3 linked regions of the Arabidopsis thaliana genome follow. The protein of the gene in region 1 interacts with the protein of each later gene in a pairwise test. Each region holds a gene or a part of one and is shown on either strand. Other genes may lie near its edges.

Region 1 (4,264 bases):
TGGAGAAATGTGTTTAACTTTTAACATGATTTTTAGGATATTATTGTCGTTGATATATATATCCTTCACATCATTAATTATTATTATGGATGTGAAAATACTATAGAAAAGCTATTAAAACCCCAATCTTTGTTCATGAGACAACAAAATTCTGGAGTCGGTGAAGTAGACATGACTTAATGGATTCTAAGTTTGTCCGATTTCTCCTTTGTTCCCATGTGATGTCTTAAGATAAAATGATCATCATCACACTTTCTTTTTCTCTTACTCCTTTGTTTCGATTCATAAGGATATATTGCTTTCGTCCACTTCTAATATTCTTATATCACTTTATTTAAAAGACAATGTACAATTTAATAAAATTAATAATTTGATGAATGTTATTGATTCATATAGATATTTAAAATGTATTTGAAAAAGGGGTACAAATCTTATTGTGAATGGATAATTAATTAAGTTGCATACTTCAAAAGACAATCATGTGGATACTTTTTTATTATTAGTTTTATGGATTTGAAATTCTGAAAAATACTCGTCTCAATTATTCTTAGAACATTAAGTTTGACCTAAAAGAATGGTTTGACTAGTAATATGGGAATTATATAGGTGCCCCTTTTCACAGATGATGCATCCGAATAACAAAATCATATTACTTCTTATATCCTACCGTCCATATTAATTATATTAGATTACACATTTAAATATAATATATACATCATTAGATCTAATATAGAAAATCTTATTAAAAAAAAATCCTTATATAAAGAAAAATCACAAGGTTAACACAACCTTATCGATAAATAAAGATGTTAAAACTGATTTTTATATATGAAGCAAAAGTAAATTAGGGCTTAGTGATGTCTAGTTAAAGTACTTGTGTTTTGAAAAGGTAATGAGTCATGACTCAACAAGGTACACAAGGCGTGCATCGGGTAAACCACAACCTTTTGTAATTGTCGATATAACAGCATGCCAATATTCACATGGACCATATACTGTGTGTATATTATATATTACCATATATGTGAGTTACATTTCATATTGTAGAACCAAGGACTAAATTTAAACATAATGTACCATATTCTTTTAATTAGATTATTCATAAGATATCCAATTTAAAAGATGAGTTAAAATGATCAAGAAAACGCTACGCTGAACTCTAAAGTCTAATCTTTATCATTTATAGAAGTGTTATGAAACAAATCAATACCTGGTTAATAATTGATGTAGTTTCATTTTTTTTTTTAAGAAAAGAAAGTGATGAAGTGTTTAACTAGTCATAATATTATAGATCCAACTTCATTTCAATATATCACGAGTGCATTGGCGGCTGCAAAACATATTTTTGAAAAGAGCAAAAAAAAAAATCAAGGATCATAAATAATATAGGTCTTGGCTTTTTAATTCTACCAATAGATTTACAGTGGACAATTAAAGAAAAAAAATCACGAAATTATCATGGTTTGGCTAATTGAGATAAAATTCATACGTTTTCCATCAATAATCGTACATCATCCATTTCACAACAATAATTATTCCTAAAATGTCGTTATTTTCATAACATTGGTTAGATGTTCTAATAAGCTACTATTATATATAACTTCACGTCAATGTATGTTTGATTTTGGCATCTAAAATTTCTGTAAAATTTAGATATTCGCGTATACTTTTTTTGGGATTTTCTTCTTAGCCGTATTATAACTGCAACTCATATCACATACGTGGATGATAAAATATTCGAGTTTAATATCTCCTCCGTATGTAGATTTGATATGATCCATAATATTAAAGATGAAAATGAACTTGACTGATTATTCAGCGCATTCATTTTATTTTCCCTTCGAGGATAGCGAAATCCGCCACGTGGCATTACTACATCCATTGCTTTTTTTAACATAAATACTTAAGTCGCAATTCTTCTAAATTTTGGAGGCTTATGATATTGGTAGGGTTCTCATATTCACTTCCAAAAGCATCTTCTTCTTTCTAATTTTCTTTTTCTTTTTATCTTATTTTCATTTTATTCATATACTTTTTGAAAAGAAAAGTCGAATCACATACTTTCTTCTCTCTATTTCTCATTCTCTCTTCTTCATCATATTACTCATTTTATAGAACAGCAAAACCCTAGATTTCCTGTTCAAGCTCAAGACCGTACAAAACTTTGGAACTCATGTAAGAAACAGTACACGTTTTTTTTTTTGTTTCTTCTTCAGTCCGGATTATAAGAATTTTGTCGATTGAAGAAAACAGGCTAAATTAAACCCTAATTTTCTCTCTTAGACAATTCCTACTTTCTCTCCATTTTTCTGGATTCGCTCTCGTTTTAAAAGGATTCAGAAATTAACTATATTATTTGAATTCTTTTGCCATAATTCCCTTATGTTTTCTGCTAATGGATATACATTTGGTCTTCTTTCTGTATTAGATATAAAGATCTCGAGAATAGCATTATGAATATCGTCTCTTGGAAAGATGCAAACGACGAAGTTGCAGGCGGCGCTACGACAAGACGTGAAAGAGAAGTAAAAGAGGATCAAGAAGAAACCGAAGTCAGAGCCACCAGTGGCAAAACCGTAATTAAAAAGCAGCCTACATCGATCTCTTCTTCTTCTTCTTCGTGGATGAAATCCAAGGATCCGAGGATTGTTAGGGTTTCACGCGCCTTTGGAGGCAAAGACCGTCACAGCAAAGTGTGTACGTTACGTGGACTACGTGACAGACGCGTGAGATTATCAGTCCCAACGGCTATTCAGCTCTACGATCTTCAAGAACGGCTCGGTGTTGACCAGCCTAGCAAAGCCGTTGACTGGTTGCTTGATGCAGCTAAAGAGGAGATCGACGAGCTACCTCCGTTACCTATCTCGCCGGAAAATTTCAGCATCTTCAACCATCATCAGTCCTTCTTGAATCTTGGTCAACGGCCCGGTCAAGATCCGACCCAACTCGGGTTTAAAATCAATGGATGTGTACAAAAGTCTACTACTACTAGCCGCGAAGAAAACGATAGAGAGAAAGGAGAAAACGATGTCGTTTACACAAACAATCATCATGTTGGGTCTTATGGAACTTATCACAACCTGGAACATCATCATCATCATCACCAACATTTGAGTTTACAGGCAGATTATCATAGTCATCAACTACATAGTCTTGTCCCATTTCCATCACAAATTTTGGTATGTCCAATGACGACATCACCAACAACTACAACTATACAATCTTTGTTTCCATCATCATCGTCAGCTGGTTCAGGGACTATGGAGACATTAGATCCGAGGCAAATGGTAAGCCATTTTCAAATGCCATTAATGGGTAATTCTTCATCTTCGTCTTCCCAAAACATTTCGACATTATATTCGTTGTTACATGGTAGTAGTAGCAACAATGGTGGTAGAGACATTGATAATCGGATGTCGTCGGTCCAATTCAACCGAACTAATAGCACTACAACGGCTAACATGTCGAGGCATCTAGGCTCGGAGCGTTGTACAAGTAGAGGAAGTGATCACCATATGTGAAGTTAGATTATTGAAACGATATAATTGTTGTTTGATGTGTTCAGAAATAAGGGGACACAAAACAAAATATAAGGTAATTACTATTGTACTATGTTTTGCTGATATATTTTTTAATAGACAAATTAATGTTATAAATTGATTTATTAATTTACTATTAGCATGTGTTTTGAAACTTTCTCATGTATATATATATATATAGCTTCCTCATAGGATCTGAATACACACAAACATACATGAAATGTATTATAAGTATCTGATAGTAATGTATGCACTTTGAGATGAGAAGCTAAATTACATTCAGATTCATCAAATATTTAGCAAAAAAAAAAATCAGATTCATCAATAGGTAACGTAATAATATGAAATTGAATCTAATAATTTATACTGATCTGTTATCGAGGTATTATGTTTCTATTGGATGCACGGTACAATGCAACTATAGAACTCAATGTGACCGTAGCTAGATAGATTATTAGATGATGATATAAGTGGAGATTCCACAAAACCCAAACAAACCTAACATTACTATGTCATGTGAAGCAGATATATATTGAACCCATTATCAAATAGAAATTCATCATGAATGGTTATTATACATACAAGTGCCCATTTTAAAATCTTATTAGCATAGTAAGTAAACTATCAAGATGCAAAGAAGCCATTCCCATATAAAAATTAAGATGTGTAGCTAGGCTAAATGGTCTCGATAATAATGTGTAGTAGTGAATAGTGATCACATGCAT
Region 2 (4,091 bases), on another chromosome or scaffold:
GACTTCAGAAATATAAACTGTCTGGGAGTGAAATGATTATGCTTAGTGGATAAAAAAAAGTGGTAAACTAAGATTATTCTACCTTCTTCCCAAAACGAATCCATTTGGTCGCAGAAATCAATGTTTCAAATTCTATCCCAACACATCTAACCAATATATCATCAATGGAATGGTGAAATATGGTCTCTTTGTGAATATAAGAAAAAGGCTAAGTTTATATGTGGTAAAGAAGATAATAATAAAATGGTGTAAACAGGTCTAAAGACTTGACAAAACTAAAACAGAGCTACAAGTCGAGAAAAGAAACAATACCTCGTATAAAAAGAGAATTGTGATTGTAAAATAATGTATGTCGTGTCATTCAAAATGTATCATCGGAAGAGCATATGGTCGGATATGCATGCAATGTGTTCATTAAAAATGAAAACGAGCCTAGTGATTGACCACATTATGAGATCGGAAGAATTCTTGTTTTACTTGTCTCCTAAATTACAACGTCAAATCCGATCCTGTAGAATGCATTTCATATATATAGAAGAATACCAATAAACAGTCTAGTCTAACAATGGACTAATCCACAGTGGTAGTTATCATCAGTGTTAGTTATCCTCAAAATCATAGCAAACAAAGCTAAGAACATTAATTTACTTTCCAAAACATGAGTTCATTGGCAAAGAATATCAATTTGGTACAACAATACTTCCAATCACACTTTTCATTTCTTTGCTTAGTTTTATTTCTAATCGCTAAAACAAAGTTTACCCTAGCAAATAACCTGTACACAGCGTATCCAAAAACACTAAAGACGATGATGCCCTGAGAACATCCACCCAAAATAGAAACTAAACTTGTGGTTGTGCAGAAACCTTCCTCAAGATCTACCATTAGGACCAGAAGTAGCCATAGCTAATTTCTCGGACCTGAGGCTGGAACTTGCTTCTGAAGTGTTCTCATCAGAGGTTGCCTCCTCCTCCTCCTTGTGGTCTCCATTTTCCTTCTTGGCATTGAGAAACCGGCCACCACATCCTCTTGGCCGTCTTATCGCATGTAAATGCCGAGATTCATGCATGTATGGCTGAAAACAAGAAATTACAACTTATTGGGAAGGATTCTACCAAACAAATTACAGCACTTGCCCGCCAGGATTTTACCTTTTTTGCTTTGATGGCTCTATTTCGTGCCTCAAGTTTTGCCCGGGATTGCCTGCGCCTGAGTATACCATGGTATTGCTTTGCGTTAACAAAAACAGGTTCCTCGACTGCATCACATTGCAATGGAACTCCTGGCTGCTGCATTCCCATTAACTGCAATTGGACCTGAAAAAAAAACTTTAAAAATAAAACAAAAGCTTTTCTAAATATTCCAAACCGGAGACGTTGGGGCTGAGTAATAAATAATACATACCCCAGGATAGGGATGTGGAAGATACGCTTGCTGTGCAAAGACGCTTCTGTAGTAAGGATCTGGATACGGGTATAATCCATGTGCCTTCAATACCAACACACACAAAAACAAAAACCGTATCATCTCAGGTTAAAAAGTTTAGCATTACTTGGAATCAACATTATCATTACACTGCATCTCAAGACTGATTTTCAAAGCAATCAAAGTTTACATTCGTACGAAGTCTAAAACTGCAGAAAGGCGATGATCCCGGGACTTTCTTGCTTGAATTATCTCAAACAACCAAGTTTTGGCATTGTAAGCATCAAAACAAAACTTTTAGCATTGAAAAAGAGAATCACAAGCAAACATATTATAACCGAGAGCAAGATCACACAGAAACTAAACCAAATATCATATAATCGAAATAAAGATCACTCATTGAATGTAGCCTGCACAAATAGTTGAGATTTTGGCTGAGAGAAATTACCATGGGCTCTGAGTAGACAGAGTTTGTATCAATAGATTCCGAACTTCGTCCTGAAGGAACCTGTGGTCGGGTTTGGGAATCTGGACGTTCTTTCTTCGCATGACTTTCATTGTTATCTGACCAGCAAAACATACCACCAAGAATCAGTTAGGAAGATACAACAATAAAACGAGAGCATAATGAAAATGGTCAGAAAGAGAGACAAAACCAGAGAGCTCATGTACTGAAGAAGTCATGATTCATGAGAAGACTGTCCTAGTTACAAGTCTGAGGAACAACAAACTGAAACAACAACAAAGCACAAAAGTCAGTACCAAAGCCAAGAGTTTGAGAATCGGAATTCACTAAACCAAAACCCCAAAATCAGAATTCAATCACAACCCTAGAATCTAAAGCAAACCCAGAACAGAGAAAAACCAATCTTAACCTCTACTATCACATCTCAACATACATAGCAAAAGCATTTTCCCGGAAACGAGTAGATACAGAACAACAAAAGCTAGAAACTTTCAAAATCTGGAGGGAAAGAAACATAAGAATTTACCTGAATTATATAAAATAGTAAGCTGATTCAATCAATCTCTGGATCTTACCCTCAGAAAATTGTTAAAGGTCTCTCCTTTTTTGTTCTAACTAAGGAAGAGACGAAATGACTAACAGAGGCCTAAACGGCTAGACCCAAGAGGGACACACCATGTCGTTTTTTCAGTTCATAGCCTCCGTCCTTCTCTAATATTCATTAACATCGTGCCGTTTTCATGTTTTCCACTCACACTGTAGTGATAGGTCAACTCAGAACCACGAAAATGTGTAGGAGTGGTAAACGACACGATGTGCAACAGTGAAAAGGAGGCTAATACAATGAGGACAAGTGTCGAAACAACGATCGAGATTGTAGGAAAAGACGGGCAGATCTGAAAAGCTGCCCGAATATGTTATCGATTGTTCAACTCCACTAGTTTTGCCTGACCCTACTTGTGCCCGTTGCCCTCAAATATATCTTTCGTTGTGAGTCATCAAAGAAGCGTCGGTATCGAAACCGAAGATTCCGTTCGCTTTTGGTTTTGTTCGAATTTCAGAGACATTAAACCAGCTTTGGTATTTAGATTGGTTTGACTTCGGTTCAGTGACAAAACAAAACCTACTTAAACGAACGAGTGATGAGTGACTTCAGAAAAAAACAGTACATGATTCCATAATAAGTAACTTATTATTTATAAGTTTCCTAAAAATTTTGCCCAAAAAAAAAAAAAGAAAAAAAAAACTTTCCTAAAAAAGTATTTGCTAATTGCTTTGACTCGAAAAATAATTGAAAACTATCACTTATGTGTAAAAGACCACCAAAAGTTGTAACGCCTTTGATCACTTATACGAGGTCACAGTATTCGACAAGTAACTATAGGTCAAAATCAAGTAAGTATGCATTCGACAAGTAAGAAACGTTTAACGTAAATGAAGTGAGTGAGCAGTCATTGAACAACAAATTAGCGTTTGGAAATGGACGAAAACTAACTAGTAAACATGATTAATACACAAGTAAATGAAGTGACTGAGCAGTCATTAAATAACCATGCTTACTTAATCACCTATACGATTATATAGTCTGCTTTCATCCCTAAACTCCTTATCATCATGATTCTTGATTCGACACCTCAAAGTCCTCAAGTGCATGTCAGCACGTATAAAGTTATAAATATAAAAAAAAAAAAAAAAAGTTATAAATATCAAGCATAATTTAGCACTGAGATTAAAAGAGCATTCCTAACAAAACCAAAGATTATAAGTTCATGATATTGGAAAAACCCAACACAAGTTCATGTAATTAGGTTAAGTAGATGAGCAAGTAGTCTCTTATATATAATCATGTAGTGAGAACAGTGAGACTAACGTAGAGAGTTGTCACTTAACTCCATAGTCTATCCCCTTCTTTGAAATCAAAACTAAAGTCATTCTATTCTTGGGGACAATCTAAATCTTTTCCCCTCATACTTTTGTTTTGTGCAATAAGCTTAATGAGGTCTCTTATTTTCAGTTTTAGATTTCTATGTTAGTTCATTTGAGCACAAATCTATCCTAGTTTGGTTTTTCCTACAAAGATCGCCTCAAAAGAACGATTTTAGTTAATAAGACTTAAACCCCAACCATCAAGATCAAACCGTCATAATCTAGTTTAATCCATGATACAAAAAAAAAAAAAAAATACCACTTACACAAAGTA
Region 3 (3,587 bases), on another chromosome or scaffold:
GAGGCGTCGAGGCGCAGCGTCCACTCAAAGCTGACGCACACTTTTTATTATCTGTATACGTTTTTGGTCAAACCTTTCCTATTGCCTATTGGATGCTGAGATGGACTTCTCTGGATATTCCAAATTATTCCTTCTTTTGATTTGGTTATGTTAAACAAAAAAACGTTTTCTTAGTAATAAATGGATATGGATCAGATTAGGTTCTTAGGAGGATTAGATATGAATGGATGACTCATTGACTTGTAACAATATTAAGCATGCAGAGCATATACTGTATATGTCTTTATTTTATACTATATAAATGCATGTCTTTCTGTATTTGGAGGGTGTTGAATTAATTATGGAAATCACGTCATCCTAATCAGCCACCGGTTCAGTCACTCTTACGTGTAAAAGATAACGTCGTAGACTTTCAACAACTCCGTATGAATGAAAATGTAAGAAAAAAGATCGAGGTTGTCGCCGGAGTTGAGCTCTCTTGTCTTCACAAGGCCTTCGATATCCTACTCATTTTTCGTTTATGCGGATTATGAATTGAAAAGTATGAAAGATAAAATGGCAAATTCACCATCGTAATTACACCACTATATCTTAAAACTGGATGGTTCACAATATCTTCGTATCATGGTAAGACGAGAATCCAGACGTAACATATCGGAGCTCTAGTGATCAGGATTTCACCGAAAAAAGTAGTTCGTGGTTCTTTCTTTATTTCGAATATAATCGTATTCAAAGTTACATTTACCTTTTCTCTTTTGTTTCATTTCCGATTCAAGGCTGACTTGGAAATTATAACAAAGAGTGAAGAAAGAGAGAAGCTAATATTAAAAGGGAAGTACAGCATCGTTTCTTCTTGTGATTCTCAGCCGCTCCACGCTTTCTATGAACTCACTGTCATTTACAAATCACAACACATGTAAACGCTTTATTTCAGTAATCTACAAAGAAAGTATCAAGAGCTTACTTCCATGGAACATCCCCAGCATTTCTCCACAGACCTTCTTCGTCTCTGTAGACCAAACAGAACTCAGACTCCATCTGGAACAACCTCAATCCCGACACACTCTGCATCCCTACAGATTGTAATGAACATCCGGTATAAGCCTACTAGGAACATTACTACTTATAGTACTTACTCATCTTTGAATCCCAAGCTTCCCATGAAAAACTTACCAAACATGTCCTCGAGTTGATGAGCAAGAGTTGAATAGCTTCCATGATCAAGAACACAGACCTTGCGACCTACCACCAAACCATCCATGGTGACCTTTACATAACCCCACTTCCGTCTGTATCCTTCATTACTACAATATCCTTTGCCACATGTCATAACTCATAAGTAAACACCGTCTCAGAGTTGAAAAAATTTACCAAGAAATTAAAGGTAATGGAAATACTAATGGAAACGGCAAAGAAACTCACTTTGGCCAGATGAGTGGTAAATCTCATGTTGTATGGTTCTCAGGCTGAGACCTAAATCGATTACGCCACCAAACTCCGTGGTCTGCGAGTAATATGGATGATACTTGGGAGAATTTGGGAAAACACCGAGTGGGTCTGAGTCCATTGTTGGTTTCTATAACAAATACATATTCAGCACATAACAGATACATAGAAAGGTGAGAATGATGTTGATTTATATCAAGCAGCTAAGGCTAAGAGTGTCAGGAGAGTTAAGAGACATCATTGCAGACAGGGAACAAACAAAAGACAAGAACACATTACCTTCCAGGAAAGGATCAGTTTGTGGTCTTTTTGTTGTTTGTCTGATGCCACTAAGTGCAAGGGATGGGGAGGATCGCTGCAATACATCTGGTCAGCCAACACAAAAACCTGAAATTATCGTGAAGTCAGAATTGTACTATACTAATCACAGCAAGCACATCTCTATCTAGTGAAGTGTCTCAATGTTATCAGAGAGTGTTGACAACTCATTGTCTCAAGTCAAAACCTGTAATCACTCAACATCAAACACGTTACAAAAGAAATAGGTAAGTCGTGCTAGAGAATTCTGTACCATAGAGAATCCAACGAATTAATTTATGGACAAAGAAAGAGAAGAACTAGGTATGGTCTTACATGATGGTGGAGAGACAATATCTTTCATGAAAGAGAGCTCTGTTGTTTAATACTAGACAATTCAGATCTATCATTACATCATGTATCCCACACATTATCTGAGAAGTAGGGCTGTGTCATTAATGGATCTAAGACAGAAAATGTACACATAAATCCATGTCTATACAATTGCTCTCATGGATAACTCAAGTCCTCCAAAAGAAGCAAAGCAGTACAAGAGAACACACCAGTTCTTCTAAAGATAAATGTTCAAATAAAAAGCTCGTTGCCATAACAAAACAAGGGAAATCATCACAGTAGACAAGAGCTTCCAGCATCTCATTCGATGCTTTTCCTAATTTACAGGTGTATGACTTGAAAAAACTGCATCCTAAGCTCATGTACAGTTTGCCCAGATACTAAATGTACGTGTCTTAAACGGAAATGGCATCCTTTTTAACAGGCGCTTCTGAAACACACTTCTTCGACACCACCTTAGTGCGACGTCTACAATCTACATGTGCTATAGCATGCAAGGAACAGAAACTCCCGAAATGTTTCACTTATGCGGAATCATGGTGGCTAAGAAATTCAGTTATGCAAGGATAGACTTGCTCCACTGCCTGCAGTAAGTTGTCAGAGAAACGATTAACAAACGAAACAAGCATGCACATGATACAGCATTGAACAAAGTTCCAACATAGGAGGAGACCTAGAAATGACTGGGGAACAAACATACCAGTCGTCCTCCAACCAAATCATAGTGTGCATAATGTGGTCCATCTGGTTCTCCAAGTAACTTATAAGTGACCAAGTTCTCCGGAAACAGCTTAACAGTGTCTGCCATATTCACAAGCATTTGTAATTAGTCATAATGGTGAAAATGCATGTGTGAGTAGCTTAAAAATTTATTTGGTGTGTGTGGAAAGTATCACAAAAGTTAATCCATCTACGCCTTATACAGCCTCTCATAACTCGAAAGAATTCAGTAACAGCAATGTAGAATTTAAAATGAAATGCATATCTGGGTAAATGAATGGTTTCATGTATATGCTAGAGTCATCTATGCAGAATTTCATAATAAACATTATGTTAGTATACCTTCCACAGCCGCAGGGGGGCAGATCAAGTCCCGATCACCTGCAAGAGCTAAGACAGGGACACTGGTTCTGGGAAGATGATCCTTATAGTAAAATTTACCACTACGATCACGTAAGCCTCCCTCTCGAAAGGCCGTTGTCAGCTGAATAAGTAGTTTTGCAGGTATGGTACCTAGATGTAAGAAAACAAAGAAACTCTTGAAAATCACCATAAAGGGAGCAATTACGGATTGCAAAAAAAGTCATGGTACATTCAAGCATCTAATAGTAACTGTTCCAGCATTTTCTTTTTCTTAATGAAGATACGTTTCTTTTCCACTTAAAATACATTAAGAACTCACATACTTAAATGGGATCAACTGTTTTTACTTACAGAAGTTATTCAAGACAAGCTTTTCTAACATTTCAGGGTGCATCATATCTGTTGAT

What was found. Proteins that work in one complex are often made in the same cells at the same time.
Region 2: the proteins of PTF1 (region 1) and NF-YA4 interact in binary tests that used the Arabidopsis thaliana proteins (3 or more experiments, as listed by UniProt).
Region 3: the proteins of PTF1 (region 1) and IAA34 interact in binary tests that used the Arabidopsis thaliana proteins (3 or more experiments, as listed by UniProt).

What each region holds. Positions count from the first base shown.
Region 1 is NC_003074.8:389,069-393,332, forward strand, and holds PTF1 (plastid transcription factor 1), read left to right. Parts: upstream 1-1,651; 5' UTR 1,652-2,175; intron 2,176-2,428; 5' UTR 2,429-2,453; coding exon 2,454-3,521; 3' UTR 3,522-3,699; downstream 3,700-4,264. UniProt on the Arabidopsis thaliana protein: Plays a pivotal role in the control of morphogenesis of shoot organs by negatively regulating the expression of boundary-specific genes such as CUC genes, probably through the induction of miRNA (e.g. miR164).
Region 2 is NC_003071.7:14,649,147-14,653,237, forward strand, and holds NF-YA4 (nuclear factor Y, subunit A4), read right to left. Parts: upstream 2,564-4,091; 5' UTR 2,418-2,563; intron 2,156-2,417; 5' UTR 2,110-2,155; coding exon 2,082-2,109; intron 1,990-2,081; coding exon 1,874-1,989; exon of another isoform or gene 1,528-1,873; coding exon of another isoform or gene 1,489-1,527; coding exon 1,405-1,488; intron 1,317-1,404; coding exon 1,152-1,316; intron 1,076-1,151; coding exon 872-1,075; 3' UTR 560-871; downstream 1-559. UniProt on the Arabidopsis thaliana protein: Stimulates the transcription of various genes by recognizing and binding to a CCAAT motif in promoters.
Region 3 is NC_003070.9:5,181,432-5,185,018, forward strand, and holds IAA34 (indole-3-acetic acid inducible 34), read right to left. Parts: upstream 1,983-3,587; 5' UTR 1,813-1,982; coding exon 1,726-1,812; intron 1,599-1,725; exon of another isoform or gene 1,577-1,598; coding exon 1,423-1,576; intron 1,315-1,422; coding exon 1,174-1,314; intron 1,074-1,173; coding exon 965-1,073; intron 892-964; coding exon 825-891; 3' UTR 560-824; downstream 1-559. Other genes in the region: AT1G15060 (alpha/beta hydrolase family protein), read right to left, coding at 2,622-2,681, 2,798-2,898, 3,160-3,330, 3,532-3,587. UniProt on the Arabidopsis thaliana protein: Aux/IAA proteins are short-lived transcriptional factors that function as repressors of early auxin response genes at low auxin concentrations.